3 linked regions of the Cricetulus griseus genome follow. The protein of the gene in region 1 interacts with the protein of each later gene in a pairwise test. Links are inferred from orthologs where the notes say so. Each region holds a gene or a part of one and is shown in the gene's direction. Other genes may lie near its edges.

Evidence for each region.
Region 2: the proteins of Tcl1a (region 1) and Lsm3 interact in binary tests that used the Homo sapiens proteins (3 or more experiments, as listed by UniProt). The two-hybrid records come from large-scale screens. The link is inferred for Cricetulus griseus from reciprocal best matches to the Homo sapiens genes TCL1A and LSM3.
Region 3: the proteins of Tcl1a (region 1) and Ttc33 interact in binary tests that used the Homo sapiens proteins (3 or more experiments, as listed by UniProt). The two-hybrid records come from large-scale screens. The link is inferred for Cricetulus griseus from reciprocal best matches to the Homo sapiens genes TCL1A and TTC33.

What each region holds. Positions count from the first base shown.
Region 1 is NC_048598.1:189,486,335-189,490,442, forward strand, and holds the start of Tcl1a (T-cell leukemia/lymphoma protein 1A), read left to right. Parts: upstream 1-1,301; coding exon 1,302-1,421; intron 1,422-4,108. UniProt on the Homo sapiens protein: Enhances the phosphorylation and activation of AKT1, AKT2 and AKT3. Promotes nuclear translocation of AKT1. Enhances cell proliferation, stabilizes mitochondrial membrane potential and promotes cell survival.
Region 2 is NC_048601.1:52,288,969-52,292,954, reverse strand, and holds the start of Lsm3 (U6 snRNA-associated Sm-like protein LSm3), read left to right. Parts: upstream 1-1,182; 5' UTR 1,183-1,311; coding exon 1,312-1,332; intron 1,333-3,828; coding exon 3,829-3,939; intron 3,940-3,986. Other genes in the region: Xpc (DNA repair protein complementing XP-C cells), read right to left, coding at 953-1,046. UniProt on the Homo sapiens protein: Plays a role in pre-mRNA splicing as component of the U4/U6-U5 tri-snRNP complex that is involved in spliceosome assembly, and as component of the precatalytic spliceosome (spliceosome B complex).
Region 3 is NC_048595.1:339,164,143-339,168,299, forward strand, and holds the start of Ttc33 (tetratricopeptide repeat protein 33), read left to right. Parts: upstream 1-1,356; 5' UTR 1,357-1,518; intron 1,519-1,752; exon of another isoform or gene 1,753-1,771; intron 1,772-4,157.

The sequences.
Region 1 (4,108 bases):
AATAATAGTGAATTAAAATAAATAACTACACTAGGCTCATTATCTGCACTCACCGGGAGCTTCCCCACCAAGCTTATTCCTATTTCTATGCAGCTATTTGGATCTGGGGATAAAGAGCCATCCACAGGGAAATCAGCCTGAAAGCCAGCAGTCTGAATACTAAATGCTAACACCATTAAGAGTTGCACTGGTCTGGGGGACTTGAGCCTTTTCTTGGTTTCTTTTCCTGTTTAATCGGAATATACCTGGCTGACCGCAGGCCTTCTTGGCATACCTGGGGGATTTGATCCGATGTCCACACTTGATCACTCATTGACCTTCCAAAGACCACCAATGGTTTCCTCTGTGCATCCTCCGAGAGGAAAGGGCTAGAAGGTGAGGCTCAGAGCTGCTAGCTAAAGGGTTGTTTGAGCAACGGGCCTGGAACTTGTTTTTACATGTTTTTCATTAATTTCTTAATTGCCTTAATGGGCACATGTTACCGTAAACTAAAGGGAAGTCGTTTTTCCTCATTTATTTACAATGAGACAGTTTTGATTGAGCAACCCAGAGACTTTCCAAATCCATTACTCTTGGTGTGCAGGAAGGGTTTCTTTTTAAGCATGGGTCTGGAATGATGTGTCCACTAAGTCGGAGCACAAAGACAGAAACCCCTGTTTTCAAAAGTCTGTTTTGCAAGACCTATTAGAAGACCACAGCCTCATCAGAGCCATGGAAAAAGTCACGTGGGAAAGAGCGAAGGCACACGAACTGAACTTTGCAAAGGAAATTGCCTCTGACACCCCAAAGGACAGGCTGAAGGTGACAGAGAGAGGCCCGGAGGGTCCAGAAGTGAGCCATGCTCTCTCAGGTCTCTGATGCCAGAAGTGAAGACTGACCTTGCCCTGGGTGGCCTGCTATGGGGTGTGGCCTGTGCAGCCACATACACAGTAACTGCCTTGGACCTTGGGATTCCACCATAGAGAAAGCGGAGGGCAGTGTCTCCTAAGACAGGACCTGGGTGTACCTTTGCTGCTGCCCGGTGTACCCGGAGGAGTCCAGGACTAACTGGGGCCCTGAAGATCAGGCCTGCAAGCCAGAGACCCAGAAGCCCCCTGGTTGCCTTGCCTACCAAACTTGTGGTTCGCCCCACCCACTCCGCTGGCTCCGCCCTGCCCCGCCCCACCTCGCCTCGCTCCAGGGGGCGCAGGCGCACACCTGGTGGTAATAAATAGTCTAGGTTCTCGTTGCCCACCACCAGAGAGTAGTTTTTATCAGATATTGCCTTTGCAAATCTTTGCTTCTTGCTCCAGCCGGATGCCATGGCTGAACAGCCGGTGTACAGACCAGAGACACCCCAAGACCCCCAACGCCTGTGGATCTGGGAGAGGCACGTGTACTTGGATGAGAATAAACGAAGCTGGCTGCCCATAGTCCTCAAGGTACCAACCGCCTTGGGGCCAGCAGATGGGGCAGCAGGGGTGTGCCCTGTCTGGGCCTAGGAGTCCTGGTAGCTGGAGACCAGGGAACAGAGGGTCCCTTGTGGCAGAAACAGCTAGGGACGCTGCAGATGAAAGTCTTTGGGTTGGGCCTGGTAGACCTGGAGAGGAGGGTGGGAACACCCTGAGGACAAGGGATAAGGCCCTCTCATACCTAGCCTGGGGTATGACTATCATTTGGGGTGAAACAGGGCTTTCCTAAACCATAAAACTGGAATATCTTTAAGGCATCTAGTAGTATCCATGTTAGTAATAAGATTTAACTTTGTTTCGCTTCTGGAAGCCTCCGGATGGGTCTTAATGAATGTTGGTGTTTTCAAAAGAAATCTCTTCTAGAAGTACTTTCAGGCAGAAATTATTGACATGCCCTCCTCTTGTAAAATCAATGAAGGCTATAAAAGCAGAATTAAAACTGTGGAGACATCGTTTGATAAACTAGAGAGTAGTTGGGGACTAGGGACTGTCTTCACTTGGGAAAGCCAGCGGCTTGTCAACCTCACATTGGGGTGCCGCTACTAGATGGTGCAACCATGATTCTGCAATTCTGGGCTCTTAAATTCTTGCTGTTGTTTTACAATATTAAATTTACATATATCTAGTCTTTTTTTAAGGTTAAAGTCGATGTGTGAAGACAGTGTAGGTGGATTTTTTTTTTTTTTTTTTTTTTTTTTTTTTTTTTTTTTGAGACTGGGTTTCTCTGTATTATTTTGGAGGCTGTCCTGGAACTTGCTCTGTAGACCAGGCTGGCCTTGAACTCTGTAGATCCACCTGCCTCTGCTTCCTGAGTGCTGGGACTAAAGACGTGTGCCACTAATGCCTGGCGTAGGTGGATGTTTTTATTTTGAAGTTGTACAAATTTCTTTTCTCTCTTTCTTTCTTTCTTTCTTTCTTTCTTTCTTTCTTTCTTTCTTTCTTTTTTTTTCGAGACAGGGTTTCTCAGTGTGACAGTCCTGGCTGTCCTAGAACTCTGCTTTGTAGACCAGGCTGATCTCAAACTCACAGAGATCTGCCTGCCTCAGCCTCCCAAGTTATGGGATTAAAGGTGTTCGCCACCACTGCAAGTTATGTTTTACACCCCCAAAACCATGAACCAGAGAGCATTTCAGAGCTGTGGTAGATGTTGTCTGAACAGGAGTCTTGTGACAAACTACAGTACAGAATTTACTTCTCAGGACTGACAGAGACAAGGGAAAGCTATCTATAACAGTGGTTAGACTTTAGAATGTTGGCTAACAGTCCTGAATGCTAGCATGCTTACACAACTGGCACTGTGATCCGAGTTACCAGTTCTGATTTATCTCATAGGCAGAACATTTCACAAAACTATTTTCACCAAGCACAGGTCTGCACCAATGGGTTACAGTGAATGCGGTCGAAGCCCTATTATTGGGAAGGTGGTGCAATGTGACTTGGGTGGCCAACAAAAGGATAACAAGGCTGGTGGGGAGTCCTGTGGGAGAAAGAAACTGGAGGTGGGAAGGGAGACAGTGAGTTGTTCTGTAGAGAGTTGTGAAGTTGGTTTGTATTTGCATGTCATATTTTTGAGTCATTTTGTTTGGAGTGTCAAATTGCATTTGTTTTTCCTGCCCCACCCTGCCCCCCACTCCACCCCTCCACTCCTCCACTCCATCCTCCAACCTGAGTAGTGCTGAGGAGGAAACCTGGGACCCTGTGTAACTTAGATTAGAGCTGTACTGCAGGGCTATAGCCCAGCCATTTGTACAATGCTCTTAACTTTAACTTTTTTTTTTTTAACTTTAACTTTGAAACTTGGTCTTAGTTACTTAGGTTGACTTTGAGTTGCCTTTGTAGCCTTGAACTTGTGATCCTCTTGCCTGAACTTACTGAGTAGTCCATTGCAGGCCTGTGCAACTTGGCCCCATTAGATCTTCACTGGGAGTATCTTATAGAGTTTGATTGTGCAGGGTTTTGTTTGTGTGTTTAGGTGGTGATTTTTTTTTGGGGGGGGGGTTGATTTGGGTTTTTCGTCTTGAATTAGTGGATAAAACTCATTGTTAGGAGCTGGTGAGATGGCTGAAAAGGTAAAAAGGTGCTTGTTACCCAAACTGATGGCCTGAGGTGTGGCAGGACCCCCATGATGGAAGAGAGCTGACTCCTGCAAGTGGTGGTGCATTAATTTTAGCACCTGGGAGGCAGAGGCAGAGGCAGGTAGATAGATCTCTGTAAGTGTGAGGCCAGTCTGGTCTATATAGCAAGTCCCAGGCCAGCCAGGGTGATAGGGTGAGACCACGCTTCAAAACCACACATGTGACCTCATTTCAATTAATAAAACTGGATGTCTGGTCTCCACACTAACATCGGTTTGTGCAATATTTGTTCTTTATAGACATACATTTGAACAAAGGACTGCCTCAAAGGGAGTTACTTCTCTGTAGATTTTGGGGAGGCTTACTGTAGACAGTGAGAACCCCCCCCAAGGCATTGTGCCTAGAAGGAAGTGGCAACAGGAACAGTGGGGGAAGAGGGAGGCAGAGATGCTCTGTGTGTGCTTTGTGGACTTCTATGGACCCTGGGCTCACTCTGCCCGTGAGAAGGCACCAGGACTCCATCAGGCTGGTCTGACTTTTGGATCCCCACCCTGGTGTGTAAAGACAGTAAGTGTAGAAATA
Region 2 (3,986 bases), on another chromosome or scaffold:
GATAGGTGAATAGGAACATCACTGTGATTCTGTGGTGGAGGATACCTAGGAATGACTACTTTAAGATGACCGTGGAATGTCTTAGACCTCAAGTAGAGAAGAAATTAGACCCAGCAACAGCGACGGAGAACATTCTAAGGCAAAGAAACATGGAAGGCCAAGCCTCCAGATAAATAAACAGTATATTCAAAGAAGAGAAAGGCAGTCACCAAGAGCCATCTGTAATCCCTGTGATCATGAGGATGAGACAGGAAAAACCCAGAGCTCTAGGCCGGGCTGCTGTTTAAAATAAGAATATCTGGAAGAGAGACATGCTAAGTGAGGTAGATGCTATACACGGAGAGCACACATCTAAGAAGGTTTTAAGTAAGAAGACCAAGGCATATGAAGTTTTGTTGTCGTTCTACATCACTTGGCTGCTGGATGGAGATCTGATGTAGAGGGGAACTCACTCAACTAGAAAACGACAGGAACAGGATACCAGCTATGAAATTAAGAGAATTAGGCACATATTTCAGTGACTCCGAAGCTGAACTGGACCTCCTGACGAACTAGCAGTTAAGAAAAGGCGTGTTTTAACAGGTGGGTGAAGGAGTGATTTATTGAGATGGGAATATTTTAAGCTTCTCCTTGGTTCAAGACCAAGGTAAGAAGCGCATCGCAAACCTGGGGCCGGAATTACAGTGGATGCAACTTGGAGAGAGATTCTCACACTACAAGGTCTCCCTCTGTCCTAGTTTTGGTGTCTCTCTGACACCGGGCAACAGGGAAGCTTTTTCCTGATCGGCCCTCAACACTTGCCAAGAGGCTGGACTTGGTCCTAGGGGTTACGGTGGGGTCAGGGCTGATGGTAGAGGCCCTCGGGGCGCCGCGCATCCGGCCGTGGAGACCTTCCGCCCCGCTGCCCGCCCCAGCCTCCGCCACCATCGCCTTGCGCGCCGCAGCCTCTCACCCGCCTCGCTCTCCTCCGGCCGGGCTGCTTTGTTGTTCTCGGCTTCTCGGCCGCGCCCCCGCCGCCTTCCTCCCGCAGGGCGCTTCGGAGCCATGCTGCCCGGCAGCGACACTCCGGGCTACCGCAGCCAGCCGGCCGCAGACACTCTCCGCGTGCTCGCCCCGCCCCGAGGCGGGCCATGCCTGGGCCGCGCCCCCTGACCAGGTTGGGACCACGCCCTCCGGAGAAACCCCTCCCCCTGCAAACTACAGGGGCGCAAAGGGACAAAAATAAAGTAGGTCTACTTCCCGAGAGTGGAACCCTTTGCGTTTCTGAGTGCCTGTTCTCGCGAGAGGTGGAAAGGGCGCAGCGTTTGAAACATGGCGGACGACGTAGATCAGGTAAGTTTGTCCGGAGGCGCTCTTAGAGGAAGCGCTTGCGCTTCCAGGTCGGGTTCGCGTTTTCCACGCTCGCTGAGAAGCGGCCCGTCTCTCTTTGTCCCGAGGAACCACGGCCTTCCGTAGCCGCGCCGGCTCCTGAAACTTCCGCAGGCCTAGAGTTTTCTCAACCCGCCTATCTGCCCATCACGCTCGGCATCGGCTTTTATCTGTAAAATGCAAACGGCTGTCGACACCAGACAGAAAGCGTGAGGTAGTGGTGGACACCAGCTTTGTAATACGTGCAAGCGCCTGGTGCGCAGGCAGCGGCTCACTTGGAGTGCAGTAGGAGGGAGGGAGGGAGGTAGAGAACCTGGTGGAGATGTAGTCTGGAGAAAGCAAGCCAAGATCGGGTGCACACAGGATCACAGGCTGCCCTCTTCACCTGCTCTTCCCCCTATTCCTTAGCTACCTGTGGAGTTCCGAAATGATTGCACTCCCTCACACGCACACGCACCCACACACGGGTATTTAAAATAACAGAGCATGTTATTTTAAATATGTATTTCTTTATCTGAGACATTTCTTCCATAACTAGAACGTAAGTTACTTAATAGGGGCATTGGGGCGGGGGTGGCTGGAGAGGTTGCTTTAGGAGTTAAGAGCACTTGTTGCTTTTGTAGAAGACCATGGTTGGGATCCAGCACCCACATGTTGGCTTAACAGCACCCCAACGCATCTTAACTCCAGTTGCAGGAGGGGATCCTCTGCCCCCTTCTGGCCTCTGCTACCGAGCACTGTGTCAGCGTGTGGTGCACATGCATACAGGCAAACTGCTCACATACACGATAAAAGTAAACCTTTAAAATAAAGGGGGGTTTTCTGTGTTTGCTTTTCTTTCCTAGGTTTAGGACAGTGCTGTTAGCACTCAGCAGGTTATTAGTTGAGGGAACGAACCCAATGTTCAGGGGCAGCTTCTTTGAAAAGGCAGAATGTAAAGCTTACAGGGTGAAAAGGATTGACAGTGGCCATCCTAGACTGAAGAGGGCTGTCGTGGGAACAGATTTCATTGTTTTGCAGCTATGTATTTATATGCCCCTCTCCATACTAGAGTGAGCTCCATTGAGGGGATGCGGCTTCTGTATTGTTGTAATCCAGTGGTTGGTTGTCTGATTTCTTAACAAAAGCCTGCTGAGCTAAGGTGGGAGGAGGAAAGCACCAGTTGAGATCCGGGGTTGGGGGTGTTCTGGGAGGGTTGTTTGTTTCCTGTCATCAGCCTCATATCTACACAGCCTACAATTTTCAGCTTTCACTGACCCCAGGTACTCACTGGAGAAGCTTGCTGAATGGTCTTACTAATTCTTGATGGCTGGAACCACCTCTTTCATATAGCTGAATCCAGGTCATCCCAGTTCTAACCTTTGAAACCTGTTCCAACAGTTCTTGAAGAGTAATTCTGATTTATCATTCCTCTGAAATGACTGACCAAGAATGCATTCTTAAATCTTGAAGCAAGCAAGAGATTATATTAAATATAAGAAATTACAGGTGCTGGGAGTGGGGCTGGTAAGATAACAGGTAAAAATGCTTGCAGTTTGTAAGCGTGACAACCTGAGTTCAATTCCTGGGACACACAGAGGAAGGAGAGAACTTTATAAAGTTGTCTTCTGACAGCTACTTGAACCCCATCACACACACACACACACACACACACACACACACACACACACACACACACTCTTAAAAGTTCCAGACTCGGTTCATACCTGCCCAATCCCAGCATCTGAGAGGCAAAGACTTGCTGCTCATCAAAGGCTGTCATGGGCATGCCTCTTAAAAAAAAAAAAAAAGGTAATTATTTAGAAGTGTTTCCTTTTTACTTCAGATAGACCCTTTAGTCCTTATAAGATCTCTGAGGCAAAGATGTGGTCTCCCCAGTTTGCAAATGAGGAGTCTGAAACAAGAAATGGCATGATTTTTAATCCCAGTTCAGAAGAGCCAGGTCAGAACCCAGAATTGAACAAAGGCTTCCTAATGACTCAGTTCTTTTAACTTCTATACTATACTACTCGGTAGGTAGGTTCATCTTGCCAGCCAATTAGCACCCTAAACTTAACCTGCGCTGTACTGACTTCAAATTCTGTCAGATCTTTTTAGTAGTGTGTGAATAGGTATTGCAGGTATGTTTTTCAAATGATTGAATTATACAAAAGATAAAGCTAAGGTTCCTAAGTGGTACTCTAACACTTTGGATTTTTTGGAAGTTCAGTCATCATTTTGCTACTTAACTCCTCTCCACATAATGTTTTTCTCCTCTTTTACATAGCATCGAGGCACCGTTCTAAGCTTTCATATGTCATTTAAAATAATAGTATTGGGGAGACACTATTTTCTGCATTTGGCAAATTAGACTAAGGTATAAACGGGTTATGTGACTAGCCCTTGGTTTCACTGCTTAACAGTGATTGAAACACCACTCTGCCTCTGGTGGTCCATTACTAAGTGTGTTTCCTTCATCAGCAACAGACTACCAATACCGTAGAGGAGCCCCTGGATCTCATCAGGCTCAGTTTGGATGAGCGAATTTATGTGAAGATGAGAAACGACCGAGAGCTTCGAGGCAGATTACATGTAAGTCTTTTAAATTATCTCAAAACCAGATGTTTCCCTATCATCCC
Region 3 (4,157 bases), on another chromosome or scaffold:
ACTTGCTCCGTTTACCTCCTAATGCCGACCGGAACCCACTTGCCCAGAGGTGGTACCACTTATAATGGGTTGGGCCCTCCCACATCAGTCCTTACTCATGACAATACCCCGATTTACCTAGACGCCAATCTTATGGAGGCATTTTCTCAAGAAAGAAGATTCCCTCTTTTAGCTATGTTTAGGTTTGTGCCTGAAAGACCCCCGAAGAGGTACTTTCGTAGAAGGAGACCCGCACCCAGGAATCAGCGAGACCACGAGCTTGGATGCAAAACCGCAAGAGGCTTTATTGGAGATACGGGTATCCGAGCCATCTGGACGCGGAGGGAGGGGGAATTGAGTCTGTTGTACCAGACACCAGACCTTGAGAATATGCTGATCTGGAATGGCTCTGTGTCTCATTTGAACCATCCAATAGAAATGATTCTGTATTTCGCCTCATTTGAAAGACTCTATGTTTCACCTCATTTGAATAACTCTGTACTTTGCCTCATTTGAATAACCCTGTATAGCGCCTCATATACATTGACCAATGGGAATAGCTCTGTACAATGCCTCATTAGAATTATCCAATAGAATCCCTGCCCCTAGCTTGCGCCTTTTTCCCTATATAAGGACCCCTTTCCCTTGGGGTACCCGTATCTCCAATAAAGCCTCTTGCGGTTTTGCATCCAAGCTCGTGGTCTCGCTGATTCCTGGGTGCGGGTCCCCTTCTACGAAAGTACCTCTTTGGGGGTCTTTCATTCCCCCTCCCTCCGCGTCCAGATGGCTGACCTTGGGGGCGGAGACCTTGGGACAGAGTGTTTCTCATCGGGCGGGGGCTCAGGGGCAGGGCTCCAGGCCGGCTCACTTGGTGTTTGTTCTCGTGCCGGCCCACCTGGTGCTCACCCTCGGGCTGGGCGTGCGGCGGGTGGCGGGGGAAGTGGAAGCCGCCGACAGGAGGAAGAGGAGACAAACTTGAGAAAGAAAGGGCTAAGGGGCAGGGGTCTTTCATGCCAAGTTGACAAACATAAATTAGCACAGGTCCCCTTGAACTTATTTTCAGCTCAGTTTTTTCCTTTTTTTTTTTTTTTTTTCCTGCGTTTTACTTTCCCTCACCGGCTAGGTTAGGCTGTAATCCCTTTTACCTGATGACTGTGCTTATGGCAAAGCACAGCTGCCTGGATTTGAGCCTCCTATCCGGAGTCCGCCACTCCCAGCTGCTGCTAGAGGGCGTTGTTTCGGGCTGATAGCCCTACTACAAATCCCATAGTACCTTGGGCGCCGCAGTGACTTCTGGGACCAATGGCCTCGTAGAAGGGTCTGGCGGATAAGAAAGCCCTCTTTTTCTTTCTTTCTTTTTTTTTTTTCTATCCACTTTTTTGGACTGTTGGAACGTCCCCGGATGACTTCATGAGTTTTCAATAGAGAAATAAAAAGCACAGACAGGCAAGGCCAGTTAGGAGCCCGACGGGATCATTTCCGCTTCCTGTGGCAAAGGGCAAGTGGAATGTAAACACGGGACCACGGAGTGGCTTTCAGGTAACTGGCTGCGGGTGGGCGGTAGAAGGCAGAGGAGAGGCAAGCAAGGCCAGAGGGTTCTGCGTGCGGGATTGGGGGGCGAGGGTGGCCCGGTGAGGTCCACGGAGCCCGCAGGTTCGCCGCTGTCCCGGGCGCGAGGCACGGTGGCGGGGCTCGGTATGCGGGCCCGGCGGCCTGAGGAGTGTGGCGGTCAGCTCGTTTTTATTGTCGGCCTAGGAAGGGGAGATGGATTCTCCTTTGGTAGCATTTTGAGGTCAGTCGTGACTCTTAATTCTTCACCTTCGAATACGTCTCTCCTGCTCGGAGGGATGCCGTCGTGATTCTTTACGTCCAGCCGGTGTTTTTCCATCCCGGTGCTGCAGCCTCTCACGCAGTCAGTAGAAGAGGACGTTTACTCCGTCGCAAGCACCTGCCAGCTTGTGGCTGGCTGGGTCAAGTGTCAAGTCTTGCGATTGCTGTGGGGGAGCATTGTAAATCAACTTAGAACACAGGTGTCATTGTTTAGAATTTTAATCCCGCTCGTCAGTTCTGTAGAATATGTTGACGTTAACACCAGGCACGAATTAACACGAAACCTGCACAGTTGTGATGTACTTGTTTGGTTTCTTATCCTGGTGAAAACTGTCCAAGGCCAGATCTACCAAAAACCCCTTCTGTAAGGGGGTTTGTGTAAACACAACCTTAGGGGTCCAAAAAGCTCGTAGTTTAAGATGAAAACAGTTTAGTCGAGATAGATGTAACTGGCATGTTATACAATTCCCTCATATAGATTGCATGACTCAGTAGCCCTTATTGCTATCTATCTATCTATCTATCTATCTATCTATGTATATATATATGAGGGTCTCATTCTTTTCATTCTCATCCCATTCCTAATTTCTCCTAACAGATTTGACCAGTGATTTAAAGTGAAATTACTTTCAGTAAACACACCAGCTTTCTTTAAATATTAATACATCTATTACACTGCGTGGTGCCCCACACTGGTAATGTAGAAACTAAGTTCCATTTGGGAATTTGAGAACAGAAAACACAATCATCATTCTCATTACCTTTAGGGACAGTCATAAATACAAGAGCATCACCACCATCACCACCACTCCTTTTATATCTCAGTATCCTTTGAAGACATTCCAAGCATCCATTTTCCCAGGCTGTCTTCACTGTGTCCCTATGGATTTGTGATCCATAGTAACCATACTTACTTTTTTCTTTCTTTCTTCCTTTCTTCCTTTCTTCCTTTCTTTCTTTCTTTCTTTCTTTCTTTCTTTCTTTCTTTCTTTCTTTCTTTCCCATTTCCTGGTCTCCCCCTGGGAGATATAAAGTGATTTTTCAGACAGAGGAAATACATTTCCCCATATTACAATGAGGCCAAGGAGGAAGCTTCCATTGTCCTAATTCCCTAGTGCATTTTATACTCCATAATATACCCAGGATTTCCCACAATTCACTGCTCTGTGGAAAGCATGCGGTTTACCTGCATCAGCCTACGTGCTTGGTGGTTGCAGTGTTTCTTGTTCAGTAACAGGCTGTGACCCATGATATTCTCAATTCTGATCAGAACTTAGCCACCCTCAATTTTTTTCTCTTCCTGTTGTTACTTACATTTCACTTCAGTCATGGGCATCAGTAATGAATATTGCTAGAAACTTACTGTTGTCTTCCTTCCTCCCTTTCTTAATGCCTATTGTTTGGTAATTTCAAAAAGACCTGAGTTCATTGGTTTTTTCCTTGTCTCCTTAGGGTTACAATTACTCTAAGAATAGATACACTCTTATACACACCTGAATTATACAGCATGTAAGACACACAATGGACAAGATAGTTATACACAATTAAAAACATTATGTTTATTTATCTTTTTGTTTTGTTTTGTTTTTGTTTTTCGAGACAGGGTTTCTCTGTGGCTTTGGAGGCTGTTCTGGAACTAGCTATTGCAGACCAGGCTGGTCTCGAACTCAGAGATCTGCCTGCCTCTGCCCCCCCCCCAACCCCCAGTGCTGGGATTAAAGACATAGGGCACCATGCCTGCTTGGATTTTCCTGTATCTTAAAGCCCATCTGTGTAGCTAGTGAATTACTGGATTTATTAGTTATCACTAAGTACTGTTGAAAACATCCAGTATTCACTTTTATTCTATCAGCTACCCTTTCTTTTCCTTAACATTTGAATATCACGGTAGATTTACAAAGCCATTCAAAACAATTTTTTTTTTTTTTTTTACTTACTCAGTAGCTCTGTTGAGTCAATTCATGTTTAAATCTTTGGAAACTGTTCTATAGCCAGGTGTAGTGGCACACATTTGTATTTTTAGCACATGGAGAGCTGATCTAGGAAGATCATGAGTTTGAGTCCAGTCTGAGTTCTAGGACAGCTGTATTCTATAGTGATTCCTGTTTCAAAATCAAAACAAACAGTGCTCAAAGCCTAAAAGAAATTAAGGAAAACTTCGATATATATTGGGGGGGGGCAACAGTGAATCTTCTATGCTTATCTTTCAACTTTACCAGTTACCAATTCAGAGTGATCTTACTTTACCCACTCCATGGCATTTCTCACCATTGATGACTTTGAAATAATTCCTAGGTATCATAATTTCATAAGAAATACTTTGCTCATAGTTCCTCCCTCACACCAGA